Oryctolagus cuniculus: one gene and its partner. Each later gene encodes a partner of the first gene's protein in a complex. Links are inferred from orthologs where the notes say so. Each region holds a gene or a part of one and is shown in the gene's direction. Other genes may lie near its edges.

Region 1 (5,237 bases):
GCTACAAGAAGAAATACAGAAAATTAGACCAGCTTTTGAGGAGCAAATTTTATATTTACAGAAGCAGTTAGAAGCTACGACTGATGAAAAGAAACAAGAAATTGCTCACCTCCAAAAAGTTATTGAGTCTAATTCTCAGCACTACCAAAAAGATATAAGTAGTTTGCAAGAAGAGCTTTTCCAGTTGAAAGCTACACACCAAGAAAAGGTCAAAGAATTGATGTGCCAAATTGAAACATCAGCTAAGGAGCATGAAACAGAAATAAATAAGTTAAACCAACTAAACGAAAACTTAGTAAAGCAGTGTGAGGCAAGTGAGAAGAATATTCAGGAGAAATATGAATGTGAATTAGAAAACTTGAAGAAAGCCACCTCAAATGCAAGCCAGGAAAGTCAGATATGTTCTGTGCTCTTAAAAGAAGATACTGTTGTAGACCAGGTAGTAAACGAAAAAGTCAAACACTTAGAAGATACCTTAAAAGAACTGGAATCTCAACATAGTATATTAAAAGATGAGGTAACCTATATGAATAATCTTAAATTAAAACTTGAAATGGATGCCCAACATGTAAAGGATGAGTTTTTTCATGAGCGGGAAGACTTAGAGTTTAAAATTAATGAACTGTTACTAGCTAAAGAAGATCAGGGCTGTATAATTGAAAAATTAAAATCTGAGCTAGAAGATTTAAATCGACAGTTTTACTGTACTGTAGAAAAACATGACAAAGAAGTACAGAGTCTTAAGGATCAATATCAAAAAGAAATATCAGAACTAAATGAAACATTTCTGTCAAGTTCAGAGAAAGAAAAATTAGCATTAATGTTTGAAATACAGGGCCTTAAAGAACAATGTGAAAACCTACAGCAAGAAAAGCAAGAAGCAATCTTAAATTATGAGAGTTTGCGAGAGATTATGGAAATTTTACAGACGGAACTGGGAGAATCTGCTGGAAAAATAAGTCAGGAATTTGAGTCAATGAAGCAGCAACAAGCATCTGATGTTCATGAACTTCAGCAGAAACTCAGAACTGCTTTCAATGAGAAAGATGCTCTTCTTGAAACTGTGAATCAGCTCAAAGGAGAAAATGAAAAGTTACTGTCTCTACAAGAATTAGTACCAGAACTTGAAAATACCATAAAGAGCCTTCAAGAAAAGAATGAAGAGTACTTAGTTAGCCTCAGTCAGAGAGATACCATGTTGCAAGAATTGGAAGCAAAGATAAACTCCCTCACTGAGGAAAAGGATGATTTCCTAAGTAAAATAAAAAATTCTCATGAAGAGGTAGATAATCTCCATGAAAAATGTGAAAAGCAGGAAAGATTGATTATAGAACTTGAGGAGAAAGTGGAACAGAGTACCCAGTACAACAGTGAATTAGAGCAAAAGGTAAATGAATTAACAGGACAGCTAGAAGAAACTTTAAAAAAAAAGAACCAAAATGACCAGCAGGTAGAAAAACTAATGGTTCAAGTTAAAACTCTCTCTGAAGACCAAGAAGCATTGGCATCTGAAGTGAAGTCTCTTAATGAAGAGAATAATAGACTAAGTTCAGAAAAGAACCAGTTGAGTAAGGATTTGGAAGCTCTTTTATCTGGAAAAGATGATGTTAGCCTTAAAGAACATATTACTGAATTAGAAAAGAAGCTTCAGTTAACAGTTGAAGAGCGAGACGATTTAAGTAAACTGTTTGAAAATGAACAAGCTCAGAAGTTATTTGTCAAAACACAGTTGTATGGTTTTCTTAAACAGATGGGATCGGAAGTTTCAGAAGAAAATGAAGAGCAAGATGCTATAAGTGTCCTACAAGCCATAGGTGAAGCCTTAGCAAAATTAAATGAGGAAAAACATAACTTGTCTTCTCAATATGATGAAAAGGTATTAGAGTTAGAAAAAAATATTAAGTTCCTTCAGGAAGAGAATGTAGTTCAATGTGAAGAACTTAGATGTTTATTAAGAGACTATGAGCAAGAGAAAGCTCTCTTAAGGAGAGAGTTAGAAGAAACCATTGCAGAAAAGGAGTCTCTGCAATTTGATCTTCTAGAAATGAAAAATGCCAATGAAAAAACAAGGCTTGAAAATCAGAATCTTTTAATTCAGGTTGAAGAATTGTCTCAAAAGTATGACAAAAATGAAACCCATAATGAAAAAGACTCTTTCATAATGGAACATGAAAACCTAAGGTCATCACTGGAACAAAAAGAATCTGAATTACAAGATGTGAGAGCAGAGTTGATGTTATTAAAGGTACTACTTAATTCAAGTTCTTAGTTCTTGTCATAGACTAGAAAATATAAATATAAATGTTTTTATGGTTTGAAGTCAAAAGTATTTAAACTCAAATGACACATTTCTGAAAAATACATTAGACATTTTATTACAGTATATCCTGTTTAATTATACTGATTTCTTCTTTCACTTGAGATCATTTTAAAATTTTGAACTTAAGATTAAATGATTAGACATTTAAATATCATGATCAAAAGTGTATAGCTGGTTAGTGGGAAACCATTTAGATATGAAAAAACGTAAGTCATTTTTGTCTGGTTAGATTTTTTTTTTTTTTTTTTCTTTTTGCACTGTCAATCTGAAGAGTTGGCTGTAGTGGTATTTCGCTTTGGCTAAAATTGCAGGGTTTTCTCAAAAATGTTGTGAGGGCCGGCGCCACAGCTCACTTGGCTAACCCTCCACCTGCAGCGCTGGCACCCTGGGTTCTAGTCCCAGTTGGGGCGCTGGTTCTGTCCCGGTTGCTCCTCTCCCAGTCCAGCTCTCTGCTGTGGCCCAGGAGTGCAGTGGAGGATGGCCCAAGCGCTTGGGCCCTGCACCCGCATGGGAGACCAGGAGAAGCACCTGGCTCCTGGCTTCGGATTGGCGCAGTGCAGTGGCCATTGTGGGGTGAACCAACAGAAGGAAGACCTTTCTCTCTGTCTCTCTCTCACTGTCTAACTCTGCCTGTCAAAAAAAAAAAAAAAATGTTTTGAAAGTATGATAATGACCAGTTCATCTTTTCCTTATTACGTATGTGTAAGGTTGTTCATCTTGGCCTTTGATACTGCTGTTTCTAGTACATGCCAGATGCATAATAGGTCAGTATTATCTGCTCTGTCACAGGAAGAAAGACTGTTGACCAGATTACTTTTTGTACGAATTCTCTTCGGTAATGATTTTCTCATGCTTAATAAGATGGTCAGTTCATCATGGGGGATGAAATGAATTCTTTTTTGTTTTTGTTTTCCCTATAAAATCTAGGATTCTTTAGAGAAAACACATATAAAAACTGATCAACACTCCTCAGTGAAAGATCTGGAAGAAAAAATCGGTAATTACACTTTTATAAATGTTGTCACAAATTGATTAGAAAAATTCTTGTTACTGTTGGAATAGAGTGGGAACTGTAAAGGCCAGGTAGTGAGTTGTTAAGTGGCAGTCCTTACCTCACACCTCCTTTCCCGTCTCCTGCCATCTGTGTGCCTTTCCTTTCACAAATTTCACTGTATAAATGGTTCCACAAATTTTTTTTAAATTTTTTCATTCATTTAACAGTCTTTATTTGAATGCCCACCTGTTTAGTTACTGGCAACAGAAAGGAGATGAATAAGGTGTGGACCATGTGCTCAAAGAGCTGTCAGGAGAGGCTGGTGCAGTACTAACAGCACAGGAAGTTGCCTGTTTCAAATCAGGACCTAAGAAAACATCACAGAATAGGGCCTTCAGTTGGGTATTGAAGAATGAGAAATTGAACACGAAAGTTTGGCATTTTAGCAAGAAGCAATGGTAGATATTTGTGTGTTAACATAAGCAATACCAAGTAATATATTGGGAGGTTCTTGGAAAGTTAGCCAGGAACCTCACCGCAGTGTGCTATGTGATACACAGAAGAATTGGTGGTTTACGCGTAGCCATTTACTCCTCATGAGCAACATTCACTCCCATGTGAGATGAGGACAGGGACACAGTGTTGTATATAATGTGCTCATGGTTCCTCAGTGTAACACCCAGTTAGAGTGGGGGTGGGGGTGGAAGAGTAGAATGACTCCCAGTTTTCTGTAACGTGTGATTGCAGCAGGTCAGGAAGCTCAGATGCTCAGATTTAGACAAGTTTAAATACGAATCCAAGCAGAGATGTCACACAGAATGGCATGCATATCCAGAAATAAGGGGAAAAGCAAGGCTAGAGATAAACATTTGTTAAGTAGTGGGTATTAAGAGTCACAAGATTGAGTATCACCAAGAGTGTAGAAAAAAGATGAGAACCAGAGACAGTTCTCTGTCCTTTAAAGATAGAGGAGGGAGTCACAACAAGGAAGATTGAGAAGGAGCCCCATAAATTAGGAGAACCTAGAGCATAAAACATTCTAAAGCTGGGGCTGGCACTGTGGCATAGCAGGTAAAGCCACCGCCTGCAGTGCCAGCATCCTTTATGGGTGCTGGTTCGAGTCCCAGCTGCTCCACTTCCAATCCAGCCAGCTCTCTGCTATGGCCTGTGAAAGGAGCAGAGGATGGCCTGAGTCCTTGAGCCCCTACACCCGTGTGGGAGACCCAGAGGAAGCTCCTGGCTCCTGGCTCGCGAGTGTTCCAACTCCAACCATTGCATTTGGGGAGTGAATCAGCAGATAGACAATCTCTCTCTCTACCTCTGTAACTCTGCCTTTCAAATAAATAAATACATCTTTTAAAAAAAAAAAAAATTCTAAAGACAAGTGAAAGAAGTCCTTCAAAATGGGAAAAAAAAATGTTTAGTCCTGGCCTGTACTGCTGATGGGTTGACCATGTGCTCATCAGCATAGAAGTTGGTGTCTGGGACTCTGACCCAGAGCTTATTTGAAGTGGATTCCAGAAATGAAAGGGGAAGAGACGTTTCAGAGCAGTTATAGACAACTCTTGCAAGGAGTTGTGATATACAAGAGATGGGCCAGTATCTAAAGGGGCAGGATGGTTTATTTTTTATCGGAGGAAAGGACAGCATGGTGAGATATTTCACCTGCCCTATCATGATCTCCTCCTTTCTGTCTTCATCTGCTTCCACTGGTTCCAAGGTTCCTGACCTTAATTTCCTGATGATATCTTCCTTGCTGCATATTTATAAACTGGTGAGAGAAACTCACTCAAAGGGGAAGCTGACACATAGAAGGGAAGGGAAATTCCTCCTCTGTTGCTGGAATAGGTGAAGAGGGTGGAATGAAGTGCAGAACACATACAGTTCAACTGTAGGTGGCAGCCATGAAGCACAGGTGCAAGT
Region 2 (5,727 bases), on another chromosome or scaffold:
ACCAGCTGGTGTGGGCATTTGGATGAAGATCTCTGTCTTTGTCTCCATCTCTGTCACTCTGCCTTTCAAATAAATAAAAATGTTTAAAATCTTTCATTTAGTTGTTTTGTTAGTGTCATGTTAGTTAGCATGTCATGTTAGTTTCACACATTTTTTTTTAAACAAAAATATATGCGATATACTGGTGTTGCAGGCAGTAGCTTAATCCACTACACCTCAGTGTGGGCCCCTAGTTTTCCAGACTATACTAAGTAATTCTTAGATTCTTTTTGGTTGTGCCGTTAACCTTCTTTTTACAACTTTCTTCATTTGAAAGACAAGAGTGACCTAAGGAGGGAGAGGCAGAAATCTTCCATTGGCTTGTTCACTCTCCAAATGCGTGCAATAGCTGAGACTGGGAAGGCCAAAGCCCAGGAACCAAGAATCCCATCTGATTCTCCCACATGGGTGGCAGGAACCCAAGCCCTTTGGCCATCATCTCCTGCCTCCCAGGCACATTAGCAGGAAGGCGGATGGGAAGGACAGCCAGGACACTATTCCAGGCAATCTAGTAGAGGCTGTGGGCGTCCTAAGCAGCGGGCCAGAACACCCACCCCAACTTTGCTTTTCTGGACAATGAAGTAGGCTGAAAATGGGATGAAAACTATGGGTCCTCTCCACAGAAAAACGCACCTGCTTCATAGGGTTAGTTTAAGGAACCTTCTTCACTCGTGGCAGAATCCCCGCTTCAAGCAGCAAGGGTAATTTTTTTTTTTTTTTTTTTTTTTTTTTTTAGGATTTATTTATTTGAAAGGTAGAGTTACAGAGAGACAGGCGGATAGAGAGAGAGAAGGAAAGGTCTACCATCCACTGGTTCACTCCCCAAATGGCCGCAATGGCAGGAGCTGGGTCCATCCAAAGCCAGGACTTAGGCCATCTTCTACTGCTTTCCCAGGCCATAGCAGAGAGCTGGATTGGAAGTGGAGCATCCGGGTCTGGAACCAGCGCCCATATGGGATGCTGGCGCCGCAGGTGGCCCCCTTAACCGCTCAGGCTTTCTAATTTGTAGCCTTCCAGAAAGAAATTTCTTATGTGGACTTCAGTTGCATTATCTGTGAAAAGGGGCTGAGTGTAACTGATCTGTAAACCCTTTTCTGGCAAGGTGGGCATCATCTAGACTCTAGAGTTAGCAATGCCGAAGGAGCAAGCAAACCAGTTTAGGCGAGGGAACTGGATGGGTTTACCAATAAAGGGGTCGCAGAGGTTCAGGTGGCAAATGAACCTGGGAGCCACCTCACAACCTGTGGATTTTGCAAGTCATTTCCTCCCTCCGGGTTTGTTCCCTCCTGTGCAGAATAAGGAGGCCCTGATTCTGGCAGCTAAAACACCCTTGGAGCAACCGAGTCTAAGACGCCGTGAGAAGAATTAAGATGAAGATGACGGTGGGGGTGGGCACACGCGAGAAGGGCGGCCCCGAGGGCTGTGAGGCAATACTGAAAGCTCGGGCAAGAGGCACCTATTTCACACCTCGAGGGTATCCGGTCCCAACCGCACACCGCCGGGGTCATTCCGCCTCCGTCCCGGCCCCGCCTCCGCCGGCTCCATCTTCCTTTCCCTCCTCTTCTCCACCTCCCGCCCCCAGGCTGCGCCCTGCCACACTCAGCATGGCCGCCGCAGCGGTCCGCTTTCCACGCCTCCACGGCCGCGCGCGCTCTCGCGCCTCCACCTCGCTCTGCTCCCTGCCTGCCCTCGGCCTCTTCCCATTGGCCCACCCCGTAAGTGACGTAAGTGTTCCATTTTTCCTCTCTGCCCCCCCAACCACATACCGCCCCTTTCTCCGCCCCGCCCCCTCCTCGGTTCTCCCTGCCTTAGACTCCGCGGCGCGGGAGGAGCGAGGACAGCTGGCTGGACCAGGAAGGCGCTGGCGGAGGCGCGCACGCGCACGCGCACGCACGCACGCACGCACGCCGGCTGCCGGAGGGGCGGCAGGCTCGCGCCCGGGCTCGCCCTGCGCCGCGCCAGAGGCTCGCGCACTCAGCAGGTTGGGCTGCGGCGGCGGCGGCAGCGGAGGAGCTGGGTGTGAGAGGTCCCGGACGCGTCTGCGGCTACCGCTGCGCCACCTTCCGCCTCTCCCACCCCAGTCTCCGTGCTGGGCGCTGAGGAAGGGAGCGGTGCTAGCCTCAGGAGCCCTGAGCACAGCCCTGGGTGTTTCGACACCGCCCTCCCTCGCCTCCCAGCCGCGGGCCTCGCTCGGTGTTAGGCGACTCTGCGGGGAGGCGGCGGCTGCTGCTGCTCGTCTGTGGCGAGTCCCGCCGTCCTCCAGCCTCGCTGCTCCGCCGGGGCCCTGCAGGGGCCGAGAGAGCTCGGCACTCGCCTTTCCGCTCGCCCTTATCGGCAGCCGGTTGGAGCAGCGTCGGTCCGGGCGGTCTCTGGGCTGAGGCGGCAGCAGCTCCTCCGGCTCCATCATGTCCGCGGGCGGAGACTTCGGGAATCCGCTGAGGAAATTCAAGCTGGTGTTCCTGGGGGAGCAGAGCGGTGAGTGCGCGGCTCCCCCACTCCTGGCAGCCGGCCGCGGCTTCCCCGCACCGCCCCCGGTGCGGCCCTCCCGTCCGCGGAGGCTCCCTGCCGACCTCGCGTCCGCGCTCCGCTCCACCCCGGCCCCTCTTGGCCCTGCTCGCTGGGTCGGGTTTTTCATTTTTCCGCCGGCCCCGAGTCCCGAGCCTGCCTGCTGCCGGGGTCCCCGCAGCCCGGCCCGTCCTCACCCCGCCCAGCCCCAGCCGCCTTGTCCATCTCTTTCTTCCTCCGGGCCCCAGCGTCCTCTCGACCCCCCTGCTTTCCTGAGCCCCACCCTTGTCCCCTGCTCCGTCCTCAGCTCGCGGGCGAGGTGAGGCCCACCCCGGGAAGCCCCCGCTCCTGGGGACCGGCCCTTCTTCAACCTTGGGCACGGCGGGTGGGAGCTGGGCGTTGTTTTCCCCAGAGGCTTGGCCCTTGGAAGTGCTGAGCTCCTGGGAGGGGAGGAGTGGTGGGCGTAGGAGAAAAAAAAAATCGCGGCAGGTTTTCACCTGGGTGGGGAATTGGTCTGGCTGTAGAGGAAATATTTCAAAATTGGGGGCGATTTGAGAATGGGGTGGTCGGGGGTGAGCGCGGTGTCGTCGGCAGTGGCGATTTTTTTTTTTTTGCCCCATGGATTGGGCTGTGGCTTGTCGGCAAAACCTTATTTTTTCTCTTGACTTTCATCGCCGACAATTCTTTGGGCATTGTTGATGCTTTTTCGATCTCTGCCAGATGCTATGTCATGATCGTTTTACTTGGAATTTTTCAACATCTCACCTCCCCTTTTTTCATCAAGAAGCAGTGTCCGATTCTCCTCATGGTGGTGCACACAGGAATTACTGGGAAATGTTAATTATTCATTTCTTCTTGAGTGTTTTCCAGTTTAAATATATATATATATATGATTTATGTGAGAGAAGGCTTAGGATGAACATCTTTTGTAAGATTTCCTTTGGGTAATGGAGTAGAGTAGGAATAGATTCATCATCTAGTTACCTAAATTAGATTTAAATGCCATTTGGGCTAATTTTTTTTTAATGCTTAATGTTTTATGGTATCTGATGAGTGAAATTGTTATGTCATTTACCTGGTCAGGATTGTTGATGTATTTTGTATTAGATACAACATCTTAATTTTGTAATGGCTGTCTCTAAGAGTACTTCTTATGGTAATGATAGTTTTATGCTATATTATACAAACTTGACAGTAATTGAGAGAGTCACCGTCCTTTGTTTCTCTCAAATTTTTCATGACCATCTTTAATTTCAGAAATGGAGAGACTAGTACCAAGTCATCAAGTTTTGGAAATCTAGTTATCTTAGGTGAGGTTATAGAAGCCATTAGTTATTTGCTTTGACTGGAAGGCATATCAATGATATAAATTCATAGCTGTTACTATTACCTTGAACTATTTATACTAATTTGTATGACAATATAGTAGGTTAATGCTTGTTGCAAAATTGCCTCCATTTGGACCTAGAAAATAACTTGTCTCCTTTCATACATGGATTATCTTCCCTTAACCAGAGGAAGGAAACGATCTCCCTCTCTTTGCATGTGGATTTTCCTGAAGTATGAACATGTTCCTTTAGGTGAGCAAATTGTTAGAACCCATGGAACTGGTTCAGCCATTATTATATGGCAGTTTCAAGAAAGTGCCATGCATAAAATACAGTTTATTGGTCATTATTGATAAATAGACCCTAATGGGCTTATTGTGCACTTTAGGGATGTTATTGCCTGCCTTATGTTGTGTTGCAGAGCCATTTAGTTTGCATGAGAAAGGCATTAATCTTTGTGTCTGGGAATACTTCAGCATAAATAGAGATCTTTAGTCTGCAGGATTCTTTTGAATTTCTTAGGTGTTTATGTTCTAAATTACAGAGTTTTGTTTACTTCCGTTAGCTGTTTTATTAATTCTCTACTCCTATAATTCTTGAAGCCTTGTGAGATTACAAAAAGAAAATGGGCTTCATTTTTTAGAACAGTTTCAGATTTGCAGAAGCATTGAGATGATAGTGTGGAGGGTGTCCATATATTCCTGCACCTGGTTTCCCCTGTTACTGACATCTTACATTAGTACGATATGTTTATTAACAGTGAGCCAGTATTGAGACGTTATTAGCTAAAGTCCGTAATTTAGATTGCCTTAGTTTTTAACTCATGTTCTTTTTCTGTTTCAACACTCAGTTCAGGATACCACATTACGGTTAGTTGTCCATAGGCTCCACTTAGACGGTTTTCAGGATTGTGTTTACATGCTTTTTTCTCTGAATTGTGAGGTTAATTATCTTTTGAAGGCTACTGTACTGCTAAGTAATATTACCCAATAGCTTTGACAATGAAAGATTGATCTCACTTTCTGTGGTCAGTGTCTAGTTTTCTTATGCATTAGCAGAGGTCTGTAGAATCTGTCATCTTGATGTAATTCTTCATGAATTATTTATTTTTGGATCTGTTAGAATTCCACAATTTAGCTCTCAAAGCCTGTACTCTATGGCAAAGCCTTGTTTGTTTCTTTAGTAGCATTTACCTCATTTATAATTATATTATTTTTTGTTGTTGTTGTTTTTGTCTATTTCCCACAGCAAGATGCAAATCCCGTTATTGTTTTTGTTCATTGTGTTCCCCATTGAGTGCTCAGAAATATTTGATAAAATAGTGGTTGAATCTAGTAGTAACCAAAGGTTGTAGCCTGTGCTATTTTTCTGCTATGGTGAAGTTAATTTTTTGTTTTTTGTTTTTTTTTTAATTTATTTATTTTGAAAGAGTTGAGGGTAGGGTAGAGAGCAAGACAGAGGGGGAAGTTTTCCATCTGGTTCACTTCCCAGATGACTGCAATGCCCAGTACTGGACCAGGCCGAAGCCAGGAGCTTCATGCATGCCTCCCTCAAGTGGCTGGGGCCCAAATACTTGGGTCATCTTTTCCTGCTTTTCCTAGGGAAAAAGCAGGGAGCTGGATAAGAAATGGAGTAGCCAGGATGAGAACGGACACCCATATGGGATGCCGGCATCGCAGGCAATGGCTTTACCCACTAGGCCACAATGCTGGCCCCTGGTATAAACTTTCTGTGGTTTCTCTATAATTCAATAGTATATGTGAAATGTTGAAATACACGGTTCCTGAAGTTTCCTTCAGGAATATCTTTTTTTAAATATCAAGATTTTTGTTTGTAGACTTTATTTGAAAGAATG

What was found.
Region 2: the proteins of GCC2 (region 1) and RAB6A are in contact, whole or in part, in a crystal structure (PDB 3BBP), measured with the Homo sapiens proteins. The link is inferred for Oryctolagus cuniculus from reciprocal best matches to the Homo sapiens genes GCC2 and RAB6A. Residues at the interface, in NP_852118.2 of Homo sapiens: Thr1585, Ile1588, Leu1589, Glu1591, Gln1592, Leu1595, Leu1596, Glu1599, Arg1602; in NP_942599.1 of Homo sapiens: Lys15, Ile46, Gly47, Ile48, Trp67, Arg74, Phe75, Ser77, Leu78, Ser81, Tyr82, Asp85.

The regions. Positions count from the first base shown.
Region 1 is NC_091433.1:100,348,477-100,353,713, reverse strand, and holds part of GCC2 (GRIP and coiled-coil domain-containing protein 2), read left to right. Parts: coding exon 1-2,245; intron 2,246-3,247; coding exon 3,248-3,317; intron 3,318-5,237. UniProt on the Homo sapiens protein: Golgin which probably tethers transport vesicles to the trans-Golgi network (TGN) and regulates vesicular transport between the endosomes and the Golgi.
Region 2 is NC_091432.1:65,087,494-65,093,220, reverse strand, and holds the start of RAB6A (ras-related protein Rab-6A), read left to right. Parts: upstream 1-1,927; 5' UTR 1,928-2,444; coding exon 2,445-2,514; intron 2,515-4,059; exon of another isoform or gene 4,060-4,087; coding exon of another isoform or gene 4,088-4,124; intron 4,125-5,727. UniProt on the Homo sapiens protein: The small GTPases Rab are key regulators of intracellular membrane trafficking, from the formation of transport vesicles to their fusion with membranes.